Diceros bicornis minor: one gene and its partners. The protein of the gene in region 1 purifies or fractionates together with the protein of each later gene. This does not show direct contact. Links are inferred from orthologs where the notes say so. Each region holds a gene or a part of one and is shown on either strand. Other genes may lie near its edges.

The links.
Region 2: the proteins of SLBP (region 1) and CTIF purify together in Homo sapiens (affinity purification with western blotting; 3 studies listed by BioGRID). This does not show direct contact. The link is inferred for Diceros bicornis minor from reciprocal best matches to the Homo sapiens genes SLBP and CTIF.
Region 3: the proteins of SLBP (region 1) and MIF4GD purify together in Homo sapiens (affinity purification with western blotting; 3 studies listed by BioGRID and IntAct, with this or other methods). This does not show direct contact. The link is inferred for Diceros bicornis minor from reciprocal best matches to the Homo sapiens genes SLBP and MIF4GD.

The regions. Positions count from the first base shown.
Region 1 is NC_080747.1:1,095,644-1,102,789, reverse strand, and holds the start of SLBP (histone RNA hairpin-binding protein), read left to right. Parts: upstream 1-4,143; 5' UTR 4,144-4,168; coding exon 4,169-4,227; intron 4,228-4,335; coding exon 4,336-4,452; intron 4,453-7,146. Other genes in the region: TMEM129 (E3 ubiquitin-protein ligase TM129), read left to right, coding at 1-311, 1,023-1,182, 1,311-1,559. UniProt on the Homo sapiens protein: RNA-binding protein involved in the histone pre-mRNA processing.
Region 2 is NC_080755.1:41,178,868-41,186,864, forward strand, and holds the start of CTIF (CBP80/20-dependent translation initiation factor), read left to right. Parts: upstream 1-4,958; 5' UTR 4,959-5,111; intron 5,112-7,997. UniProt on the Homo sapiens protein: Specifically required for the pioneer round of mRNA translation mediated by the cap-binding complex (CBC), that takes place during or right after mRNA export via the nuclear pore complex (NPC).
Region 3 is NC_080757.1:55,775,928-55,783,937, reverse strand, and holds the start of MIF4GD (MIF4G domain-containing protein), read left to right. Parts: upstream 1-4,925; 5' UTR 4,926-5,001; intron 5,002-5,970; 5' UTR 5,971-6,014; coding exon 6,015-6,102; intron 6,103-7,209; coding exon 7,210-7,319; intron 7,320-7,529; coding exon 7,530-7,685; intron 7,686-7,775; coding exon 7,776-7,868; intron 7,869-8,010. Other genes in the region: SLC25A19 (mitochondrial thiamine pyrophosphate carrier), read left to right, coding at 151-281, 2,231-2,413. UniProt on the Homo sapiens protein: Functions in replication-dependent translation of histone mRNAs which differ from other eukaryotic mRNAs in that they do not end with a poly-A tail but a stem-loop. May participate in circularizing those mRNAs specifically enhancing their translation.

The DNA of each region.
Region 1 (7,146 bases):
CTGGCCCGTACCCTGGCCCTCTACGCCCTTCCGCAGTCGGACTGGCGGGCCGTTGCTTCCTCTGTCAACACCGAGTTCCGGCGGATCGACAAGTTTGCCACGGGGGCACCGGGAGCCCGTGTGATCGTGACGGACACGTGGGTGATGAAGGTGACCACGTACTGCGTGTATGTGGCCCAGCAGCAGGACGTGCATCTGACAGTGACGCAGTCGCAGCAGCACGAGCTCTCGCCGGACTCCAACTTGCCGGTGCAGCTCCTCACCATCCACGTGGCCAGCGCCAGCCCTGCCGTGCGGGCCTTCGACATCCGGTAGGCATGCCCGAGGTCAGGTGGGGGTGAGCCAGCCAGTGCCCAGGTTCCAGTCTTTGTGCCCCCCGGGAGGCGATGATGTGTGGAGCAGCCCCTGCAGCCATCCCTCCAGTGCCTCCCCCTCAGAGCCCCCACTGCACCCCCCAGGCCCCTCCCTGGCCCCCTCATCCCTTGCCCCCCTTGCGCCCCACAAGTACCCTTTCCTCTCTCTTTCTCCAAGCTCTTCTCTGAATCTGCCTTTTCAGCTTCTTTGGGGAGCATGTTGGGGACACTTGGTGGCTGTACAGGATAGACGCTTGGTGGCTGCCTCAGCTCTGAGGTCTGGGTTCTAGCTGAGGTCTTGTGTCCCATTCCAGCTGAGCTCTTGAGACACGTTTTGGGTCTGCTGAGGACCAGCCTTGCTGTGTTTCAGCTGCAGTTGGCCTGCCTTTTGTCTCTCTCTGCAGCCAGTGGGGTCAGGTGGGCAGTGCTGGGTCCGTGGGCTCTGGCCTCAGGGCCATCTCTGTTGGCTGGTTTTCATTGGACAGCTGGGCTGTGCCTGAGTCCCCATGTTCTGTGTGATTGTGGTGCCCTGGTCACCCTCGGGGCACAGCCTTGGCCTCCCTGCCACCTGCCCCAGGATCTGTGTCAGGTTGCCGGGAAATGATGGTCCTGCCCTGCCGAGGGGCCTCAGTCCAGCGGCCCCAGCCCAGCAGCCCCGCCTCCCTGCAGGCTGAACTCCACGGAGTACGGCGAGCTGTGTGAGAAGCTCCAGGCGCCCATCCGCAGCGCGGCCAACGTGGTCATCCGCCAGAGCCTGGGTGACCTGTTCCTGGAGACGTTTGCCTCTCTGGTGGCGGTCAACCCGGCCTACTCGGTTCCCAGCAGCCAGGTGAGGGGCTGGGCAGGGGTGGGCGGGGTCCCATAGCCCAGCTCCTATGGGCCAGGTCCCTGGGGTGGTGGGGGGCCCCATGGGGTCGTCTGGCCAGGCTCCCCGTGATCCCCTCGGCCCACCTGCAGGAGCTGGAGGCCTGCATTGGCTGCATGCAGACTCGTGCCAGTGTGAAGCTGGTGAAGACGTGCCAGGAGGCAGCTGAGGGCGAGTGCCAGCAGTGCTACTGCCGCCCCATGTGGTGTCTTACCTGCATGGGCAAGTGGTTCGCCAGCCGCCAGGACCCGCAGCACCCTGACACCTGGCTGGCCAGCCGCGTGCCCTGCCCCACCTGCCGTGCGCGTTTCTGCATCCTGGATGTGTGCGCTGTGCGCTGAGCTGGCCAGGCCCTGGCAAGGGAGCAGCCTTGGTCCAGGCCAGCCGTGCCAGGGTCCCCACAACTGCCTTGGGGAGCAGCCAGGCTCCCAGGCCCAGAGTTCTTCTCCCAGCGGGCAACTTGCCTCTGCTCTGAGGCTGTGGAAGTGCAAGGGCTCCTGTTTGGAAAGGAAGTTCCAGCTGAGGTCCTGGCACTGGCAGCAAGGAAGGTCTTGAGTGCCTCTGCTTCCTTCGCTCCCGTTTCTCTGGGTGGGGCTGTGCTGGGCACAGAGAACACAGCCTTGGGCCCATATCCAGAGCATTCTGGGCCTCCTGAGCTGTCTTCTGGGAGGTCCCAGTGTGTCTAACGTGAGCCAATTGCCTTATTTTTACGGAGCACACCTGCTTCTCAGTTACTTTTAGATCTAGATTCCTCTAAGACTTGGCCGAAGCCTTTCTTCCTGCTTCTGTCCCCAAGCCTGCTGCTGGCCCTGTGGTGTTCGCGCCCCCCGCCCCAGAGGCTGCTCTGAGCACTCAGGCAGAGCTTGCAGGTGCAGGGGGAGACCTGGGGTACTGCTCCAGGGTGAGAGCACTGCCTAGAGCTTCCCAGTGGCTGCAGCCAGCCAAGGGGTTGCTCTCTGCCCAGGGAGATCCTGGGCTTCCCCTCAGGGGCTGGGGGAAGGGCTGGCTGCTCTCAGCTGCAGCTCCCTTCCTGTGTGTTTCTGGGAGCCACCCGCTCCTGGAGGGGCGTGCACTTACATCTGCTGCTGCCCCCATGGGTTCAGGGAAAGGCCAAGCCTCAGACTCTTGGCCGAGCGTGGGTATTGAGCTGAAGATCAAGTGCCACTGAGACAGCCAACATCAGCCAACAAGCCTGTTGGGACACAGCGCAGGGCTGGCCACAGCCCCCCAGGGTCCATCTGTTTCAGGAGGGGACATGCCCAGTGGTCAAGGTGTGGACAGGTGTCTTCCCGATTCCTGGTGGCACAGTTGGCCAGGGGAGGGCAGTGCCAGTCCCCAGCTCTGACATATGTGGCTGCTGGAGGGGCCCTCGCTTGGAGCCCTGAAACCTGGGGCCTTAAGCACTCTAAACCTGGTCATCCTAAGCAGGGCTGATGGACCCGGCTGGCCTGGATTGCCCAAGGCTGCACTGAACCCCAGGGAGTTGGGAGCGGAGAAGGCCCAGATTTGTGTGCCCGCAGGGTGCTCAGCAGATGAAGGCCATCAGAGGGGCCAGCCAGGAGCCACCCTCAGCTTCAGCTTGAAGTTTTGGGTGCTGCCAAGGGAGGGCTGGGTCTGCGGTAATTTTTAGTACAAAAGAGTTACTTAGTTTTATGAAGATACACCTATTGCAGCAAAGCAATACATATTTAATAAAATGTTAGTCTGAACTTTATATTATCTCCAAACGGAATATTTTGGTTTTCTGGTATTCGAGCTTTCGTAAAGAGGAAAAGCCAACTTAGAAGTGGCAGTGTCGTGCCCACTTCAACGTGTGCGTTCTGTTCGGAACCAGAAGGGAGACGGGTGCTCCAGGAAGTTCCCTTCTAATTTCCTAGCTGGGGCGGGGGTCTCAAGAAGCCCATTTCTGGGGCACCTGCGGGAGTGGGCGCACTGGGCCTGGGCCTGGTGTTCCGGTGAAGGGGCTGCGGCCAGGGCTCTGGGGGCGGGGTCCGTGAGCAGCGCTCAGGATGCAGGAGCCCGCGGGTGCGGGGCCTGCTGGTTGAGGCCTCCGGCCCCGTGCTCGCGGCCGTGTCCCCTGAGGTGCCGGGTAGCCTGGGTGGCCCAGGAGGGCAGCCACACCCGGCCGCCCGGGATCTCGGCCGGGGGAGCTCCTCGACAGCGCCCTCGCTGCCCCCACGTCACTGCCAGACCCGAACGTTTTTAGGAAAGTGGTGCATATAACGGGCTGAAACACGACGGGCGGACTCGAGTTCTCTGCGGCTTCAGTGTTTGATTCTTGCCACTCGGGGCCTCGTCTCCTCTCTTCTGCACACGTTAGCATTTGACGGCATGAGGCCGGGCCAGGGCCCCGGAGATCGCGGTGTCAGCGCGGGAGGCGGCGCCGGAAACCGCGGGGGTGAGAACTGACGGGCCTCGCGGCGCGGGCATCTCCGCGCGAACAAGTTCCGGCCGAAGCTGAAGAGACAGCGCTGCGCGCGACCCGACGCTGCTCGCCTGCCTCCCCTTCCGGGTTCCCGGTTCCCGCCAGCGCGGAGACCGCCCCGCCGGGCCGGCCAATCGGAGTCCGCCCCCTCCTAACGCCCGCGGCGCGCGCGACCGAATCTCCCGCCAATACCCCTCCCTCGCCCGCGAAGGCGCGGCCGCCTCACGCCGGCGGGGCCCGCTTCTCTCGGCCTCCCCTCCGTCCCCGGCGGGCGGCCCTCCGCCTTCCAGCGGCGGCGTCGGGGCTGCGGTCGCCCCGGCCCGGGCCGCCCGCGAGGCGCGCGGCGGCGCCTCCCCCGCGGTGGCCGATGGTCGCGCCCGGCCTGGCGCGCGGGCGCTCCGGGGGCGGGGCCCGCGGCGCATAAAGGCGGCCGGGGCGGGGCGCGCGCAGTCTGTCAGCGCCGGCGCCGCGAGGAGGCCGTCGCCCGCGCCCGGACCCCGCGCCCCGCCTCGGCCCGCGCGCGCCATGGCCTGCCGGCCGCGAAGCCCCCCCCGGTGCGGGAGCCGCTGCGACGGCGACGCCAGGTGAGGCCGGGCCGCGCGCCGGGGGGCGGCCGGGCGGGGCCGGGCGGGGGTCGGGGCCGGGCGGGGCCTCGGGGCCCGTCCGCCCCTGACGCGGCCTCTCGTCGGCAGCCCGCCGCCCCCCGCGAGATGGAGCCTCGGCCGGAAGCGCAGAGCCGACGGGAGGCGCAGGAAGCCGGAGGACGCCGAGGGCCCCGCGAGGCCGGCGGGCGACCGCAGACCCGACAGGTGGGCCCGGCCCGGCCCGGCCGGCGAGGGGTCAGGCGATGCCCGGCGGGGCTCCCTCGGGCCGCCGCGGGCGGGGGAGGCGGGCATTGGGCCTTGGAGCAGTGTCGGCCTGTGGGTCACCCCCCTCCCGACTAGTCAAGTCCTGTGGATCATCTCCCTCCCCACTAGTCAAGGCCTGTGGGTCACCAGCCTCCCGATTAGTCAAGGCCTGTGGGTCACCAGCAGACTAGTCACAGCTGGTGGGTCACCCCCTTCCCGACTAGTCAAGGTGCTTGTGGGTCACATGTACACCTCTTCCCTAACTAGTCAAAAGCTGTGGGTCACCACCCCAACTAGTCAAGGCCTGTTGGCCACCTCCTCCCTACTAGTTAAGGCCTGTGGGTCACATGTACACCCGTTCCCTAACTAGTCGAGGCCTGTGGGTCACCACCAGACTAGTCAGGGTGCCTGTGCATCACTCCCCTGACTAGTCAAGGCGCCTGTGGGTCACTTCCCTTGAGTAGTCACAGCCTGTGGGTCATGTCCCAGATTAGTCAAGGCGCCTGTGGGTCACCACCCCTATCAGTCAAGGCTTGTGGGTTACCACCCTGACTAGGTCAAGGCCGGTGGGTCATCCTCCTGGCTAGTCAAGGCGCCTGTGGGTCGCTCCTCTGACTAGCTAAGGCCTGTGGGTCACCACCCCAATTAGTTAAGGTGCCTATGTGTCACAACACTTGATTAGCTATGGCTCCTGTAGGTCATGCAATGACTAGTTAAGTCACCTGTGCCTCACAGTGCTGGGTTAGTTAAGGCACTTAGGGGTTACCACACCTGACTAGTTGAGGCACCTGTATCTCACCACACTTGGCTAGTTAAGGCGCCTATGCCTCACAATGCTTGACGAGTCGTGGCATCTATGCCTCACAACACTTGACTAGTTAAGGTGCATATGCCTCACCACACGTGAATAGTTAAAGTGCCTGTGCCTCACCACGCTTAACTAGGTAAGGTGCTTGTGTGCCACGACGTGTCTGTGAGGTGCTTGAGGATCCTGTGATGTATCCCAGTGACGGGTGTCAACAAATACGGGTCTCAATCTCAGTGAGTGAGCCCTACTATGTTCCAGGGACAGCATCATGAGCTACTGTAAACTTAGAATATTCTAATGTAGCTAGTCAGGTTCATTCTTTTTTTTTTTAAACTTTTATTTTTCCTTCAAAGCCCCAGTAGATAGTTGTATGTCATAGTTGTACAGCCTTCTAGTTGCTGTATGTGGGACGCGGCCTCAGCATGACCGGAGAAGCGGTGCATCCGTGTGCGCCCGGGATCCAAACCCGGGCCGCCAGCAGCGGAGCGCGTGCACTTAACCGCTAAGCCACGGGGCCGGTCCCTAGTCAGGTTCATTCTTAACTGTCGACTTAGAGAAGTTAGGTATCTTACCAGAGTCACCAAAGGTGGATGCCAGGATGCAAACCCAGATTTAAGCTCCAGATCTGTCTTTCCATCCTCGTGCTCCCTAGGTACTTTCATTCTGATGAGCCTTTGTTGCGGCATTTATGTGTTTACTTGAGCATTTTCTAGGTTGGTCAGGGTGTTGGGGAGGTCAAGACACCTACCAAATGAGATTTCCATTTTTGTTGTGTCTGTACGCTAATGTGGGTGGGTCAGCAAGTCAGACAAGGTATTTCAGAGGGACACCGAGTGGCTGAAGAAAGAAGCAGGGGATCATGGTGGTGAAGGTTAGCGTGCTGTTCGGAGCCCATGGGCATTGAAGGCCTCGGTTGAGGGACCTTACGTCTGGTGACTGGGACGAAATGGGAGGTGGTCCCTGTGAGGATTCGCCTGCCAAGGCCCTCAGGTGGGGACATATTTGGCCTCTTTGGGACTGACTAGAGAGGGACGAGGGCAGGGGCAGCTAAGTTCAGGTGAAGGGAGTGGTGAAAAAGGTATGGTTCAGGTTAGACTTTTTTTTTTTTTTTTTTGTGAGGAAGATCAGCCCTGAGCTAACATCTGCTGCCAGTCCTCCTCTTTTTGCTGAGGAAGACTGGCCCTGGGCTAACATCCGTGCCCATCTTCCTCCACTTTATATGGGACGCCGCCTCAGCATGGCTTGACAAGTGGTGCGTCTGTGCACGCCCGGGATCCGAACCCAGGCTGCCAGCCGCGAAGTGCGCGCACTTAACCGCTACGCCACCGGGCTGCCCTCTCAGGATGGACTTTTTAAAGCAGGACTCGTAGTACTTGCTGTTGGGTTGGGGGGTGCAGAGAGGAGTCACGGATGACTCCAGTTTTTTAGGCCTAAACACCTTTGTTGCTTGTGGAACCATTTGCCAAGATGAAGGGAATGGGGATGGAGCAGACCTGGCACGGGGAAGGAATCAGTGGGTAGGCTTAAGAAACTTCTCAGACGAGCAAGAGAAGATATGAAGAAATTAATGGTGTCTAAGAGTCTTAATGGAGGAGACCACTCCTGTTAGGCACAGATGTGAATTATCAGCATATAAATGTGAGTTATCAGCGTATACGGATGGCTTTTAAAGATTGAGACTAGGTGAGATTATCTGGGAGGAGGTGTGAGTGTAGGAGAGGGCCTAGACAGCCCTGGGGATAGATGTGAAGAGAAGGTAATCAAACATTGTCATTGAGATGGAGCTCTGAGTCCTCCAGTGGTCTCCCATTTAGCTGAAGATAAAATGTTAAATCCTTATATTGCCT
Region 2 (7,997 bases), on another chromosome or scaffold:
TTCAGCTTTTGCGTTTCTCAAGCTCATCATTCTCTACTGACGTCCCTTCCTCCACCACCGACTTTCACCCTAGAGGATCACTTTACACCTGCCTTTTAGGTGTAGGTTTTGGGGGTTGTATGGCGGAAGCTGAGATGAGGCCTGGGTGAAATTCAACCTGGTTCTATCAAGCCATTATCTCTCCAGGCCAACACCACAGTAACAGAGCGTAGACACTAGACCGGTAACTTCCTTCCTTCTGCAGGGTCGATGGACACCAAACTGATGCTGATGAGCCCATTCTCTGGTTTCCACCTAAAGATAACTTCTGCAATGCCTCCCAGGTCAATGCTACAACATAGGGATTTAGGCCACTGCTGACCTCCTCCTGATGGGAAGTTACAAGTGGATCTAGTCCCACTTTCCTCCCAGAAGCCTTCTCTGACCATTCCAGCCTACCAGGAACTTTTTGTTCCCTTAAAATCACCCTCACACAGTATAGCACTTCGTCAGTTTCCCTATTATATCATGGCTGCCAGCCTGGTCTCCTTAGCTCCTGAAGGCAGGTAATTTTTCTCCCCTTGCACTCTGGTAGGCTCCCACTGTCACCTAGAGAAGTCCTCAAAACATTTTCCATGTCTAATGCTTTGTTTTTAAGTTGTGCTTGCTTATAGGAACCAAGGCAGAACATTGCCAGATGGCCAAACTGCAGAACCAGTCCAAACCAGAAAGGTCCAAGATGGCGACAGGGTGCCCTTGGCAAAAGCAACCGCGTGCAAAAGTGCCACGTGCAAGGAGGGAAGATCTGCGCATGCCCCAAATGCCCCTGCCCGAGCAATGACGCAGAGGCCCCTCCCCCTTCACATCCCATAAGAACCCTGGTCACCTTGAAGAGAAGGTGTCTTAGAGCGTGAGCTCTCCTTCTCCGTATTCCTTGATCAACGAGTAGTTTCTGCTCTGCTATTCCGAACCCGGTCTCATTCTATTGGCACGAGCGGCTCTGGGCAAAAGGACCCACTTGTGGGTCACCGGTCCCTTAGGGCTCAGTAACACCATCAGGCCTTCAATAAACATTTTGACTGATGGAGGAAAAGCTGGTAGGGAGAAGGAGAAAGAATGGGAAGAAAGGAGAAATAGTTCTTTTTGCTATATACTAGCAAGATACTTGCTACTATCTTAGGCAAGTGTGAATTAGGGAAATCAACTGCTTAAAACAGAGAGAAACAGTCTGGCTGTTAATTTCTAGGCTATGCAGTGACAAGTCAGACAAAGTCAACTCTTGGCAACTCAAGTCTTCCACAATTAAACCAATGCAGTGTCATTTCACTAATTCTGCACCCAGTGGCTCCTCTGACCTAAGCCTGCAGGTTGGGCATAAGATCAACCACAAAGCAGAGAAGGAAGGACAACAGATGAGGGACAGAGTAAGCTCCAGGCCTCCCACCCTGGGAAATTTTAGGGACCCACAGTCTTCCTTCAAAGACCCCATTCCAGCCTAGAATCCCCATCATCAGAGGCCATTTCAGAGAGATGGCAATAAGAAGACAAAAATGTTGGGGTTGGAGGGGAGAATGAAAAGACTATCTCATCATAGTTAGTGAAGGTTTATTAGACTGGACGTAAAGCAGAAGCCAGGCTCTGAGTATATGGAGAGCAGGAGGTAAGTTTCGATGGGTGGGGAGAAGCAGTGTGGGCCGGAGACACTGCCCAGAGAAGGCACCTTGGGTGGGGTAACACTATGTGGTCCTTGGGTAGCAGGGCGAGGAGGAGAAGAGCATAAGCACTGTTAGCTGGTGAGGATTTAGAAAGCTGGGCCAGCTGAATGTGAGAATTAGAACTGGGTGAAGTTTCCTTGAAGACAAACCTAACCTACTTCATATGAAGATGAGTCCCACCCCAGGAATCCTCCATGCAGCACCAGCTCTGCTGGCCTGACTCTGCAGAAAGAGAAGTTCAGGGATCATTCTCCTGGCCCAGAAAGACTCTGGGAGGAGGAAAGGAATCAGCTATCACCAAGCACTTGCTATGTGACAGAGCCAGTTTAAATGCATTATCACTATTGGTTCTCACAAGGCCAAGAAAGGTTGTTAAGCTGCCCAAGGTCACCTGTTCGGAGGCTAAGTAAGCTGCCCAAGGTCGCAGATCCAGGAAGTGCCACACCTGAGATTCAAACCCAGGGGTCAGGCTCTGCAGTCTGTGTTGCTCCCACTGGCCGTGTCACCCCAGGTGCACCCCTCACACAGATGCATGTACTCTCCACCAAGGTTTTGCTTTCTGCACATTGCTCAGCCTCTCTCCACCTCCAGCGTGGATCCTCTCCTCACCTCTGGGATGTGATTTAAAGCAAAGGCAAAACCAAGACCTAGACAATTCCATTGTTGTTTTTTTGCAGGTGGCGGGCCTCTCGCACAATGTGCAAAACAGCACAAAAGGCAGGTAAGTGGGAATTTGCAGAGTGGATAGACTCTGGTACTATTATTTTATATTTTGTAAACCCAGGAAATCATCCAGATGTTAAAGCATAAAAATAACACACTGCTGAGTCAATGAACCATAAATGCTAAGAGCGACAAACCAGCGGGAAGAGTCAGGTGTGCTCAACTATGTTCCTTTGGCAGGGGGACTGGGCCTGCTACCCAGACAACTGGCTCCCAGTACCCATTCTGCCTCTTACCAGTGCATGACAGTGGGCCTGCTGCCTTCCTCTAGAAGGGAGGGGATGACACCTCCATGCCCTTTGGTACAGTCGTCTCCCTTATTTGTGGTTTCGCTTTCCGAGGTTTCAGTTACCCACGGTCAACTGTGGTCTGAAAATATTAAATGGAAAATTCCAGAAATAAACAATTGATAAGTTTTAAATTGCACAGGTTCTGAGTAGCGTAATGAAATCTCGCACCGACCGGCTCCGACCCACCCGGGATGTGAATCCTCCCTTTGTCCATCGTATCCACGCTGTACACACTACCTGCCTGTTAGCCACTTAGTAACCCTGTCGGTTATCGAATCAACCTTGGCAATATCGCAGTTCTTGTGTTACAGTAACCCTTATCTTAATAATGGCCCCAAAGCACAAGAGTAGTGATGCTGGCAATTCCGATATGCCAAAGAGAAGCTGTAAAGTGCTTCCTTTAGGTGAAAAGGTGAAAGTTCTCAACTTAATAAGGAAAGAAAAAAAATCATATGCAGAGGTTGCTAAGATCTATGGTAACTTTTATTACAGTGCATTGTTATAATTGTTCTATTTTATTCTTAGTTATTGTTGTTAATCTCTTGCTGTGCCTAATGTATGAATTAAACTTTATCATAGGTGTGTATGTACAGGAAAAAACATAGAATATACAGGGTTCGGTACTGTCTGAGGTGTCAGGCATCCATGGGGGGGTGTTTCCTCCAGTATCCTCTGTGGGTAAGGGGGGACTACTGTACAAGAATCAAATGAGCTGCCCTATAGGATGTGACTGTGATGGTGTTTTGCTTTCCTTCCCTGGTTTGGCTCATGCTGAGCCTCAAGCCTGGAAGACAGGCTCCCCACACAAAATGAAATCCCACCCATCCTTCAAGGCCCACTGCAAGCCTGTCCTCCAGTGAGAAGCTGTCCCAGGCTCCTTCTGCCCTCTAGACTCATCCTCCACCTCTGCCCCCCATCCATCTACCCTTCCGCCCTGCTGAATTACTAGGACTCTCAGAATTCGCTCTCTTCTCGCTCATCTGGATCCTTTATACTCTGTAGCCTTAGTCAGATGCCTACCCTTCCTTTTTGCCTTTGTTAAAAATCTTAGCAATTCTTAGCTCAAGTACGGCCTCCTCCCGAAAGCCTTCCCAGACCCTCTCCCACACCCACCCACCCTCCATCCAGGTTGGCTGCTCCTCCTAAGGGCTCCCTAGCACTTTACGCTTATCCCTATGTTCAATGCTGACTTATCCCTTATACTTTCATTGACTGTGGTCCCTACACTAGACTTTGAGCTCCTTGAGGGCAGGGACTAAGGGTCTTACTTGTCTTGGCATTCCCAGACACATCCAGTCTGTGGAAAGTGCCCACCAAATGTTATATGAATTAATAAGTGGATTTCTAAGGCAGTTATACTGTGTCACACAGTTCCTCCAATGACTGTATAACCCCTTTGCTTGCAGGGGTGTCCAGCATGGTATATTTCTCCTGAAGGCCTCTCTGTGCCAAGCTCAGTGGCTGGCACCTAGTAGGAAGTCTGAAAACATTGGTGATTTGATTAAGTGATTACTGAATTATCCATTGCATTGAATTCTCCCAGCCACCTCGTCGTCCCCCGTCCCAGCCCTTAGCATGGCCAATGGAAAATTAATTGGTTGCAAAGTGCATATCTAATTACAACATCCCGCCCCTGCCACGGAGATGTTCAAATGTTAATTATAACATATGCATCTCAATAACAGACGTTAGCCTTTAATGCAGCATTAATAATGCCACTTGGGCCGCCCGGTGCATACACAAAGCTTCCTTTTCTCTGCCATTAGGACAGACTTTGCACTTGAAGCTCGGAAGTCCTCATCTTTAAAGCTTTCCAGCCCCTAAAACTAAACGTTTCCCTGCAATCCTGGACAGCGCCTAAAACCCCAGTTCTCCCAGCGCAGAGGCCCCCACCCCAGCGTCCTGGGGGAGCGAGCGTAGGGCGGCAGGTTTCGGCGTCGCTCGGCTGAGCTGTCGCGGCTGCTCTGGCTGCATCCCCGGCGTCCCGGCGGCGCCCGGCTCTCCAGGGCCCGCCATCCTAGGAAAGAAAGGCGAACTACATTACCCAGCAGGCCTCCCGCCGCCCTCTTTCCTTTCAAGTCTTTGCACGTGGCCGGAGGGGAGGGTGGGGCCTGGACGTCACTCTCCTACATTCTCTTTCCCTGTGTCAGAGCAGGGTTCATTTTTTTTTCCTTCCTCTACTCCCTCCCCCCCACCCGCCCCTCCCTCCCTCTTTCCCTTCCCTCCCTCCCTCCCCTCTCGGCTGGGTTTGTGCGCTGGGGCGCCCGATCCCCTCCGCAGCCGGGACGCGCGGAACTCCAGGCAGGAGTCGGCTCTTCCGAGCCTTCTCCCTCCCTTCCCCTTCCCTGCCCCCTCCCCCCACCCCCCGACTCGGGCTCGGAGCGGCGGCCGGAGGAACCCCGAGGTGAGCATCCCCTCGTCTGCCCCCCTCTTTTAGTCATCTCAGCTTGCCCATCGATTCGGGGACCCGGGAGGAGGGCTGCGTGACGTGCGCGTGCTTATAGATAAATCCGGGAAAACCGCCCCAAACAATTAGCCCCCTTCCCCCCTTCCTGCGCCGGGGCAGCCGGGCGTCCGCGCCCATCCACCGTCCCCCACTCTCTTGAGGACGGCACTCCATGATCTCGCCCGCTCCCCAGGTTAGCCTCTTCCCTGCCGGGTTCCCTGCCCCGAGGGCAGCCGTCGCCCTGGAGCTCCGGTGAGGAGGGGGGTTCTTGGGGGGCGCACGGCTGGAGCCCGGCTCGCGTTGGAGCCGCGCGGTGTGGCCGCTGTCATGTGCCGGGTTCCGACCCGGGGGGAGGTAGAGAGCGAGCGTGATTCCTCTCCCTTTTGTTTTGACGCCCGCATTTGCTGCATCGAGCAGTTGGTTAGTACCAGCCAAACTTGCAGCTGTTCTGACTGCGCTCCGCTGAGGTAGGGAGCGCGGCTCGGGGGCTCAGGGCCGGAGGCTGCTGCACTCGCGGCTGCCGGAGAGACCCCGAGAGAGTGTCTCCACGCCGCCCCTCCCTCCTCCGGTGACTGATTGTGTCTGTGGCAGCGGCCGTGTGTGTGCGCGCCCGTCCCCGCGGGCGCGGGGATGTCTGTCGTCTAGACAGGCTGCACCCTCCCTCCGTCCCCGGCGAGCCCGCGGGCCGCGGGGGGCGCGGGGGATGGGAGCAGAGGAGGAAACCGGATCGGTGGAGCTATTGCTGTCGCTGCTTTGGACATTCCCCACGGTGGTGATTCTGTTGGCATTTTTATTATTATTCCCGTCGCCGCGGTGTAATTGGGCCTGGGGAATAGGTCCGCCTGGCGGATTGGGGGTTAAGTTGACAGGCTCTGAAAAGCTAGCTCGCGGTGGCGAGTGACCCGAGCGGCCGAGGGTGGGCTCTGGCTTGGGTTCTTCGGGATGACGAGCAGGTGACTGTCCCGGACGCCGGTAGTGGGGGAGGGTGGGCAGGGGGCGGTGGCTCGGTCTGCGGCGGAGGTCTGGGGCCCCTGAGGGCCGCGTGCCCGAGCCTGGGTGCGACTGGAGAAGGGGTCCCGGGTACGGCGCGTCTGAGCTGGTTATTTCTCTCCATTGACGTTAGAAGACAATCGAAGGTCTGAACCCCTCATCTGGGCGGCGTTGGCTGTTTGGTTTCGTTGAGTTTTGGGGCTGGGGGCACAGGTGTAAGCAGGGAGGGTGGTGCGGCGTGTAGAGGGGAGGGATGTATGGCGGCGCCGCGTGCGTTCCCACCCCGGGGAGTGAGGCATCGCCTCCCCCGCCCAGCTGTTTGTGTGTACACACCGCTCTGGCGTGTATGTGTGGGGGGCGGGGACCGCAGACCGCTGCGTAGTGGGGACGCGCGTGGGCCCCGATCCCCCGCGGGGATTGGCCCTGCCAGCCCCCTCGTGGCGCCAGTTGAGCTCGTCGTCGTGTGTGTGTCCGCGCGCGCGCGCACCCTGGTTACTTGGAGAGGGGGTCATGAGACTGTGGGCCGGGGGAGACTCCGGCGTTGTATGTGAGCGGGGTCCCTCAGGGAGTCCCCGTCCTGCCCTGCAGCCAGAGTCACACTATTCCTCACTCCGCGTCCCCGACGCCCCCTGACCCCGAGGACTGGCCGCCTCCTCGGCGGCGCGGGGGGCTGGTCTGGCTGGGCCGGCAGGAGCCGCGGGCGCGCGCGTGTCGCCGCCGCCCGCCGGACACGCTCGGGGTGACCCTTGCACCGGGGCGCTCTGTGGGTGCGCGTGCCCGTGCGCCCGCCGCTGCCTGCGCAGACCTTGGAGAGAATCAGCGCGCTCTGCGACCCGGCTCCCAATTCTTGGTTCTGGAGACAGTGGGGATCAAAGGCTGCCCGGCCGCCCCGGCCCGGGCCCAGCCTGGCGTTGCCGCCTGCGCCGCTGTCCAGTGTCCAGCGGGCCGCCAGCCTTTGCCCTCTCGGCCGGCGCTCGGTCTCTCCGGTCGGGGGATTATCTCCCAGGCTAGGGGCCCGCGCGCGAAGGGAAGAAGCCGCTGGAGCTGCCCGCTCCACGGCAGCTGAAGACTCCAGAGGGCGAAAGTGACACAGCACGAGCGCCGCCGCTGCCGCCACCCGAGCTGGAGGAGAAAGGAAGGAGCCGCCCAGAGGGCGGGGAGGGGCCGGGGCTGTCGGGTCCCGGTTCCTCCTGCCCAGCGCCGGGTCTGGGCCGAAAACCTCAGGAATCTCGGCTCCGAGCATGCTCTGACCGCGCGAGGAAGTTGCCTGGCTTTCAAGAAAACCCAATTTTACGGGAACAGAATGCACCGAGCAGACGATAGAAGATGTCCAGTCCCTCACAGGATGCACTCAGGTTGCCTGAGGAAACTCCCTTTGAGTATTTGAAACAGGATTCGGTTTACACACAGCTCATCTCATCGGCTGTGTCAAGTGTCTGTCCTGGATAATGTACGCTTAGAGACAGTAATTTTGTAACTCATTCTGGGGTACAGTGTCATCAGTGATTAAGAGATTGCTAGAATAATAATATGTTTGTATGACTTTACAGGGCAGTTTTTTTCTCCTTGTATGATCACATTTATTAAGACGGTCCTGTCAGGTAGGGGGGGTATTAGTCTCATTTTACAGATGAGCACACTGAGGGTCAAAAAGTGCCCTGATTGCCTAAGGCCTCTCAGTAGAGGAAGGGCTGCTCCCCCACCCCCACCCTTTCTGATTTCTCTTCTGCCCTATGGCTTTTTATTTAAATAGTGACCAGTTATTTTTTTTTTTTTTTTTGGAGAGTAGGTCTTCACACCTCAGGAGGTACTGAACCTGAGAAAGGGGGTAAATTATGCTGGTATTTATTCTTT
Region 3 (8,010 bases), on another chromosome or scaffold:
CTGAATCTCTCTCTCCTGGATTAAATTCCTCTGAGATGAAGGTTGCTTGTGGGCTTTTGTTTTATGGTAGAGGATTAGACCTCATGACTCTGAAGTTGTCTACCCTAGTTGTCTCTCATTTTTTCCCTTAATCCCACTTCTCTGGTTCAGGGAACCTCAAAAACCTGCTTTGTGGCAGTGGAGCTGGAGTCATCAGTAAGACCCTTACGTATCCCCTGGACCTCTTCAAGAAACGGCTGCAGGTCGGAGGGTTTGAGCAGGCCCGAGCTGCCTTTGGCCAGGTGAGCTGTCCCCCGGTCCCTGCCCCTCACTGGGCACATGAAGAACCAGGTCAGTTCCTGCCCATTGGGCAACATTAGGCCCTACAGCGCTTTGACCCCCGGCCTGTCCCCAGGGATCCCCAAGCACATGGGAAAGCCACACGCAAAGCCCTGTGTATAGTAGGCACTGTGGAAAGATCCAGGCAAAGGAAGCTTCACAGTGTCTGCTCTTAAAAAGTGTCCAGTTCAGTTTGGGATGAAGAGTATACTCACAATAGAAAGGTCCCCAAAATATTAAATAACATGGAGGAGACGCATTGGTGCATGGGGTGCTTTTTTTATGCTGTAGGTATTCCTGCAAAGGGGTGAATTTGATCAACTAAATTATATTTTAAATGCACTAGAAGAGTTTGTCATCCAAAGAATCCCTGTTGTAGGTAATTTTGTAATGTTAATAGACATTCCTTAGTTGGCTTCGATTTTCACATATTGGATTTTTATTCACGCCTTTTGGCACACTGATTTTGTGAAAGGCCTCGGTGGTGGGCAGTGGTAGAGTGGGGGTGGGGCAAGGGTGGGTAATCCAGGGCCTTCCCCCTGGGACCTGGGAACCTGGGATGTCAAGGCATGAAGAAACATGCCTGACAGATGTCAGAAGAGAGGGACACCATGGAATGGGAGACAGGGAAGAGAGAGAGTGCTCCTGACTTGGGGGAAGAGAAAGAATTGGGTTTATATTTGTAAGATATTTTCTTTCTAGAAAACTTTAGGGAAGTCAGATAGACAAAAAGAAAGATAAAAATCACCTGTAACTCCACCACCACCCACCCAGAGATCATCACACAGAATCTTTGGCTGTAGTTTTATTTCTTTGCATAAATAAATACATGTGTACATTTTAACAAAAATGGGGTTGTATACAAGGTGGTTTTTTTTTTTTTTTTTGGTGGGGAAGATTAGCCCTGAGCTAACATCTGTTGCCAATCCTCCTCTTTTTCCTGAGGAAGATTGGCCCTGGGCTAACATCTGTGCCCATCTCCCTCTACTTTATATGTGGGACGCCACCACAGCATGGCTTGACAAGCGGTGCATAGGTCTCAGCCTGGGATCCAAACTGGCGAACCCTGGGCTGCTGAAGCGGAGCGTGCAAACTTAACCACTACACCACCAGACTGGTCCCTATACAAGGTTTTATAACCTCCATTTTCCACTTGCCAACTTGTCCTGAAGAGACAGCTTGAATTTGAATAGGGAGAGTTGGTGAGAGCCCAGGACAGAGGAGGGAGGCCCTGTTCCTGATGGAGACTAGTGTGAGCCAGATTGGCTGGAGGTGGGCGGGGCCCGTGGGAGGACCAGTGGGGGATAAGGGCCGGTCAGGGAGGGAAGTTGAGGCCAAATGGTGGAATGCCCAGGCCGTGGAGCTTGGACTTGATTCTTTATAATGTTGTTGTCATCATTGTCATCATCATTGGAAGTGACTGAAGCTTTTGGAGGGGAGCAAGGCTTGAGTAGAGCTGTGCCTTGGGGACATGGGTCTGGCAGCAGTATGTGGTCAAGTGGAGAGGGCCAGGCTGTAGGGGTGGCACTGGTCAGGCTAAGAGCTAAGAAGGGGCAGATTCAGATCTGCTGCCCAAGGGGGACCAGGTGGGATGGGGTGAAGGGTCAGAGGTGCCTCTGGGAAGAAGGTCCAGAGCTCTCACTGGGTCCTTAAGAGCCACAGTCACTGGGAGCCTCCTGGGCAGGAAGGAGCTCTGTCCAGTGCTGATTTCCCGGCACTTCATCTGTTAGGTCTGAATTAGCCCACTTGGAAGAGAAAGAATGAGGTTAATGTATTCTCTGTGTTTTTTGCATTCATTCCTTCATCCAGCAAGTATTTATTGGAAGCTATGATGTGCCAGGTGCTATGTTGACAAAAGAATAGAGCCAGTCACCTCCTCTCTCCTTAACTGGAGTAACCTTCCTCTCCCCAGGTTCGAAGCTACAAGGGCCTGCTGGACTGTGCCAAGCAGGTGCTGCGAGAGGAAGGCGCGCAGGGCTTCTTCAAGGGCCTGTCGCCCAGCCTGCTGAAGGCTGCCCTCTCCACCGGGTTTGTGTTTTTCTGGTACGAGCTCTTCTGTAACCTCTTCCACCACATGAGGAAAGCAGACAGCTAGCCTTGAAGGCAGGAAGGGTGGCCTGAGGTCTACGGTGTCGTGTTGCACTGAGAGGTGCTGCCTGTTCCATTCCTTCAAGCCAGCTGTCTCGAGCTTGAAGAGCTGTTGGGAGCAGGGCAGCAGCTTGATCCCACCAGCTTGGACGCCACCAGAATGGCAAGGGGTTCCTCCAATCAAGAGCACGGGGAGAGCGCAGGACTTGGTCTGTGGGATCCCAACCATGCCAGTCGGAGGAGCTTGAGGTTGCTTCTCCTCTGTTTAGCCTACGCTTGCTCTAAAGGAAACAGCTGTCATCCTGCACATATTCACCCCGTCTGCCCAGAGAACACTCCTGGCTCTGGGTGGGGCTGCAGCTTGAGTGTGAGGGCGGGGATCAGGCCCTTTGCAGGGGTCTGGTCCCCACACTTGGGCTCTTATTCCCACCAACTTATTTAATAGACATTAAAGCTAAAAGCACATTCCTTATCTTACTCCTCCATCTTGCCTTCCAAATCCCTCCTCACATAGTTTGAGGGAAGGGATCCCTGCCTTCCTCAAATTCCATTTTTCTCGGTAGTTGCCTTCCTCAGGCAGCTTTGCTTCTGGTTCTGGGGGAAGAGTCCAAGCTGAACTGGTCACTTTATAAACACCCTGTGCCCAGATCTTCGTGTCTGTAAATGTCCCACTCAGGCTTCTCTCCCCCTGAGGCAGGACTGGTCATGGCCATGGGCCTCTAGGGAAAGCAGATACCAGCAGCCCCGCAAGAAGGGGGGAGATGCGCTGATGGGCAAGAGGTGTGGGTAGAGTTAGCAGCCCTTGTCCCCAGTCTACTGGGATCACTCCTCTTTCACGGGGGCTGGGTTAGCCCTCTTGGGTGGGTGGGAGCTTACAGCTGGGCCAGTTGGCATCAGCTGTCCGCTCAGGGTGTTCCTCCTCGGCTTAGCATGGTGCTGTATGTATCCTCTGTAACCCGAAAAGGGCCACACTCTGAAGCAGCCCAGTGAAGGGGCTGGTAGAAGGAAGGGGTTGGGCAGACAGCCTGGTGAGGGCACATTTGGTGCCCTGGGGAGTTGTCAGAGCACAGGAACCCACAACAGATCTTCATCTAGGCATAGAGGGGAAGGGGAGAAGAAAGTCTGCAGAACACAACTACCACCCTTTCCACCCCAGTGCTCCCCACCCCCGAAGGGAGCTTGGTCTTCAGCGTTGGTTCTACAGGGGGAGCCAGGCTGGAGTCCCATGCAGGACTTCCACTCCACCCCCACCTCTGGACTCTAGCTCCAGCCTTTGCACTGACTCACGAGGAAGGCAGCAGCTGGGAGCAGGCCTTGTGTGGGTGACATGGCCCTCGCTCCCCATGGATTCTGGGCTCCTTCTCCCAATGTTACTGCCCCATCTCTGGCCTGGGGGCTTGTGTTATGTCTGGGACCCTGAATCCTGAAGCTTCCCTCCTCTTGGCTGCTGATTATGAAGGTCCAGGCTGTGGCTGGAGGGCACTCCGACACCCACAGGGTTTGGGGCCCTCAAGGCCTGGGCTTGGGGCTGCTAAGAGGCAGCTGCCTGAATGTATTTTTTATAAAATTCAATTGAAGTAAACTTGATTCTCTTCATCTCTCCTGCTCATTGGTTTCTTTTGCTGCAGCTGAGAGTTCTCTTCCTCATCCATTGTCTGTGACCACTTTGGTGGCTTCTTTAACAGGGGGAGAGAACTTTGGCAACAGGAAACCGCCATCCACACTTCTTTCTTGTCTAAGCCATGGGAAGAGGCAGTTCTTTTCCAGCCCCTGCTGTATGCCCTCCTGCAACCTAGGGCCAACCTCAGGGATGGATGGCCCTGTCTGGGCTGCTGGGCCCGCACTCTCCCCCAGCCCCAGCCAAGAAAGACCGGGCCAGGGGCTTGCTCAACTTTAGGGTCACTCCCAGCTCCTCACGCGTCAGAAGTTGGCAACTGGGACCCTCTCTTGGTCTGGCCCATTGATTTCAACTTACTTTACCTGTATCGTTTGTACATTGAGTAGGAGAGGAGGTTAGTGGGACTTGATCCAGCCGTTACAGCCCCCCTGCCTTCTCTACCTTAGGGGATGGGAGTGGGGGGCACACCGCCACCACTTGTGAACTCCAGCCCTTCCAGCCATCTTCTCTGCCTCCTCCCCGCCTCCCGGACACCCCCACTCCGTGGTCCTGGGTGCGGACCACGCCCTCCACAGGTTTCTCCCACGCAGAGCGGCTGGGCCGAGTCTCCTCTTCTGACCCAATTTTAACCTGAGCCTCTGGCGTGAGGGCGTGGGGGGGGCGCGGTGCCACCGCTTAAGACTGAGGGCTTCAGGCGGGCGGAGGAGCAGGTCCGGCCCTGCGCCGACGAGCCGTTGTGGTCCTGGACAGACCCGGGGCGAGCCGGGTGAGGAGAGGGCAGGGCTGGCGAGGTCAGGGTCGCCGGGGCTCCGGCAGGGGGTGCTGGCGAGGCCGCCCCGCCCCGGCGCCGCGCTAGGAAATGACCTAAGCGGTGGCAAGGCGCGGCCGGCTGCACCAGCAGCGCCGCCGACGCGGGGCGCGCGCACCATGCCCGCCGGGCTGCCTCCCGGCACGCGGGCGCGGCGCTGGCCCGGCAGGTGGGTCTCGGCGCTCACGCCCCTTCTCCCGCCCGTGGGACACTGGACGGCGGCGTCCGCTACCGGCCCTGCGCCGCTGGGAAGGGCGTTCCGGGCTTAGGGAAGCTGCCCGGGTCTGGAGACCCCCAAGGTCGTCTCCTTTGACCGGGGGGACGCACCGAGTCCGGAGAGGGGACTCTAACGGGGACTACCTCTGGAGGACACGTCATCCCGCTCCCCTCTTTACAAGGAAGGGTCCAGAATGGAGCTCAGGAATTGGGAGTCCTGACTGGGCAGGGCCGGGTTCTTGCCACTTGGGAGGCCAATTTAACCAGTCCGTCCTGCGGAGAAGCTGGCCAGGACAGGGGGAGTTCGGGCTCGCCCGTCCGTGGGGCGGCAGAGAAGGCTCCTGCACCCACCCGGGCAGGCTGGCCCCAACCCGAGTGCTGGAGGGGTGGGTTTTGTGGACTGCGAAGGACTCGGACTGACGCTGAGGGAGAAGCTCGGGGAGAGAGGCTTGGAACCCTGGTGAGACAGAGCTGTCGGCAGCTTAGAGCCCCCAGCCTTTTCTCTGTCCCGGAATCGTGCTGGGCCAGCAGCTTCCAGGCCGGTTTATATAGGTAGGGCAAGTGTCTAATATCCACCTATCTACACCCCCAGCTCACCGCACGCCACCGCACCCCAACCTTGGTATCAGCTGGGAATAAGTCTGCCTCCTGTTGGGACAGGCACATTTCGCCCTTCATCTCTTTACTCTTATGTAATCCCAGAAACTACAGGGGTTCCTAAACTGAGCAGCAGGTGCCTGGCTGGTGGCCAGTCTCCACAGGAAGCCAAGCTTGGTGGACTCTCAGCCAACCACTGAATGTCATGAACCTCCCAGGAGCACCTGTCCCAAGCGCTGGTCAGCCCCACCCAGGGCCTGCAGGACTGGGAACCCCAGCCCCATGCTGCACACCTGAGTCCTCTCCCTTCACCTCTCCTCCCCAGGTGCTGTCATTAGTCCCACCCCAGTAAAGAGCTGCTGGGGCTGGATGGTCATGGGGGAGCCTGGTAGAGAGGAGTATAAAATCCAATCTTTTGATGCAGAGACCCAGCAGCTGCTGAAGACAGCAATCAAAGGTGAGCATGGGGAGCCCTCCTGAGCCTGGGTCCAGTGCTGCAGAGAAGGGGCCAAGGGGACAGGACTAGAGGACTGAGCCCTAGGCCAGGAATGCCCAGCCCTCTCCCTTCGCTTTCGGAGGAGTCGGCAACATAATTCTCGAACTGGAAGACAAGCTACATTTAGGCCAATATTTGGGAGTATGAATCAGAGTCACCTCTCAGACTGTAAAGCCTTTTTTAAAGTTTAAGTACCCATGAAAGGGGTAGGGCACAGAGAACACAGTTCCTGCCCCTTAAGTCCTTATATCGGATCTGGTTTTTGCGTTGCTGCAGTCAGCTCTCTTGAATGTGCAGAGCTGCCTGACTTGGGACAGAGGATGGAGTGTTCTGCTTGGCAGAGGAGATACAGTAATTGTCCTGGACCGATGCCTTCCTGCAGCACTCAGGACAGAAGGTTGACTCAGCTAACAATTAGCCATGCCCATCAAGTGCCAAGTGAGCCTATGGGACGGGAGGCCCTGCCTGGCCCACTTTTGTCAGGGGTTCATGTGTGTGTATTATAAGAACACTTTCTTCCATAAAATTGCTGTTGAAGACATTGTTTTTTGGTGCTTCTTCCTCAACCTACTGGCAGGAAAAGATGTGTGTCCTAAAAAACTAGCATTTTTACTTTGATTAGTCTCTAACAGCCACATTATCTTCCATTTCCTCTGACTGGGCCACCAGGAGGCTCACAGCTAGAGCTGCTCTTGTGTGGGGTTACTGTCCCCCTTCCCTGTTTTCTGGTCTCTTTCAATGTAAGCATATAATGGGAGTGCTCTTTGCTCTTTTGTAAACATCTCAAATCCTTCTGAAAAGCAGGTAGAGGGGCCGGCCCTGTAGCCTGGTAGTTAAGTTTGCGTGCTCTGCTTTGGCAGCCCGGGGTTCACAGGTTTGAATCCCGGCATGGACCTACACACCACTTATCAGGCCATGCTGTGGCAGGCATCCCACATAAAATAGAGGAAGATGGACACAGATGTTAGCTCAGTGCCAATTTTCCTCAGGAAAAAAAGAAAAAAAAAGCAGGTAGAGGCAAATATGATAATTAAACAGCTCTAGACTCCGTGCCTATCTTTACCCTAGATCCAGGTGCTGTGGACTTGGAAAAAGTGGCCAATGTGATTGTGGACCATTCTCTGCAGGACTGTGTGTTCAGCAAAGAAGCAGGACGCATGTGCTACGCCATCATTCAGGTTGGGTGGGGTTGGCAGAGAAGAGGGGAGATGCTTTGAGGAAGGTGCTTCAGGAGTGGGCAGAGACCTGGCCAGCAGGGGAGAGATGCAAAGGGCTTCCCTCAGAGGCAGAGAAAGGAGTAGGACAGGCAGGTCCTCAGCCGTGGTAGCTTGGGTGGGGTTACAATGGCACCGCCCCCAGCCACTCACGGTCTTTTCCCTGACTCACAGGCAGAGAGCAAGCAAGCAGGCCAGAGTGTCTTCCGGCGTGGACTCCTCAACCGGTTGCAGCAGGAGTACCAGGCTCGGGAGCAGCTGCGAGCTCGCTCCCTGCAGGGCTGGGTCTGCTATGTCACCTTTATCTGCAACATCTTTGACTACCTAAGGGTGAGGCCCCAGCAGCCCCCCTGTGCAGCAGAACGGCCTGTCTGCCACAGCCACTAAGCCAGTGCTCTGGCCCCCGCTCTCCCCCTACAGGTGAACAACATGCCCATGATGGCCCTGGTGAACCCTGTCTATGACTGCCTCTTCCGGCTGGCCCAGCCCGACAGTCTGAGCAAGGAGGAGGAGGTGGGTGGCCCTGGCACGGAAGGCTGTGGAAGTGGGCAGTCTTTGGCTCAGCTCAGAATGCCAGCACACTGGCCATGGAGGCTTTTGAGGGCATCACTTCCTGGGGCGGTAGCCTGATGGGGGCATTTAAGGCCTGTCAGTT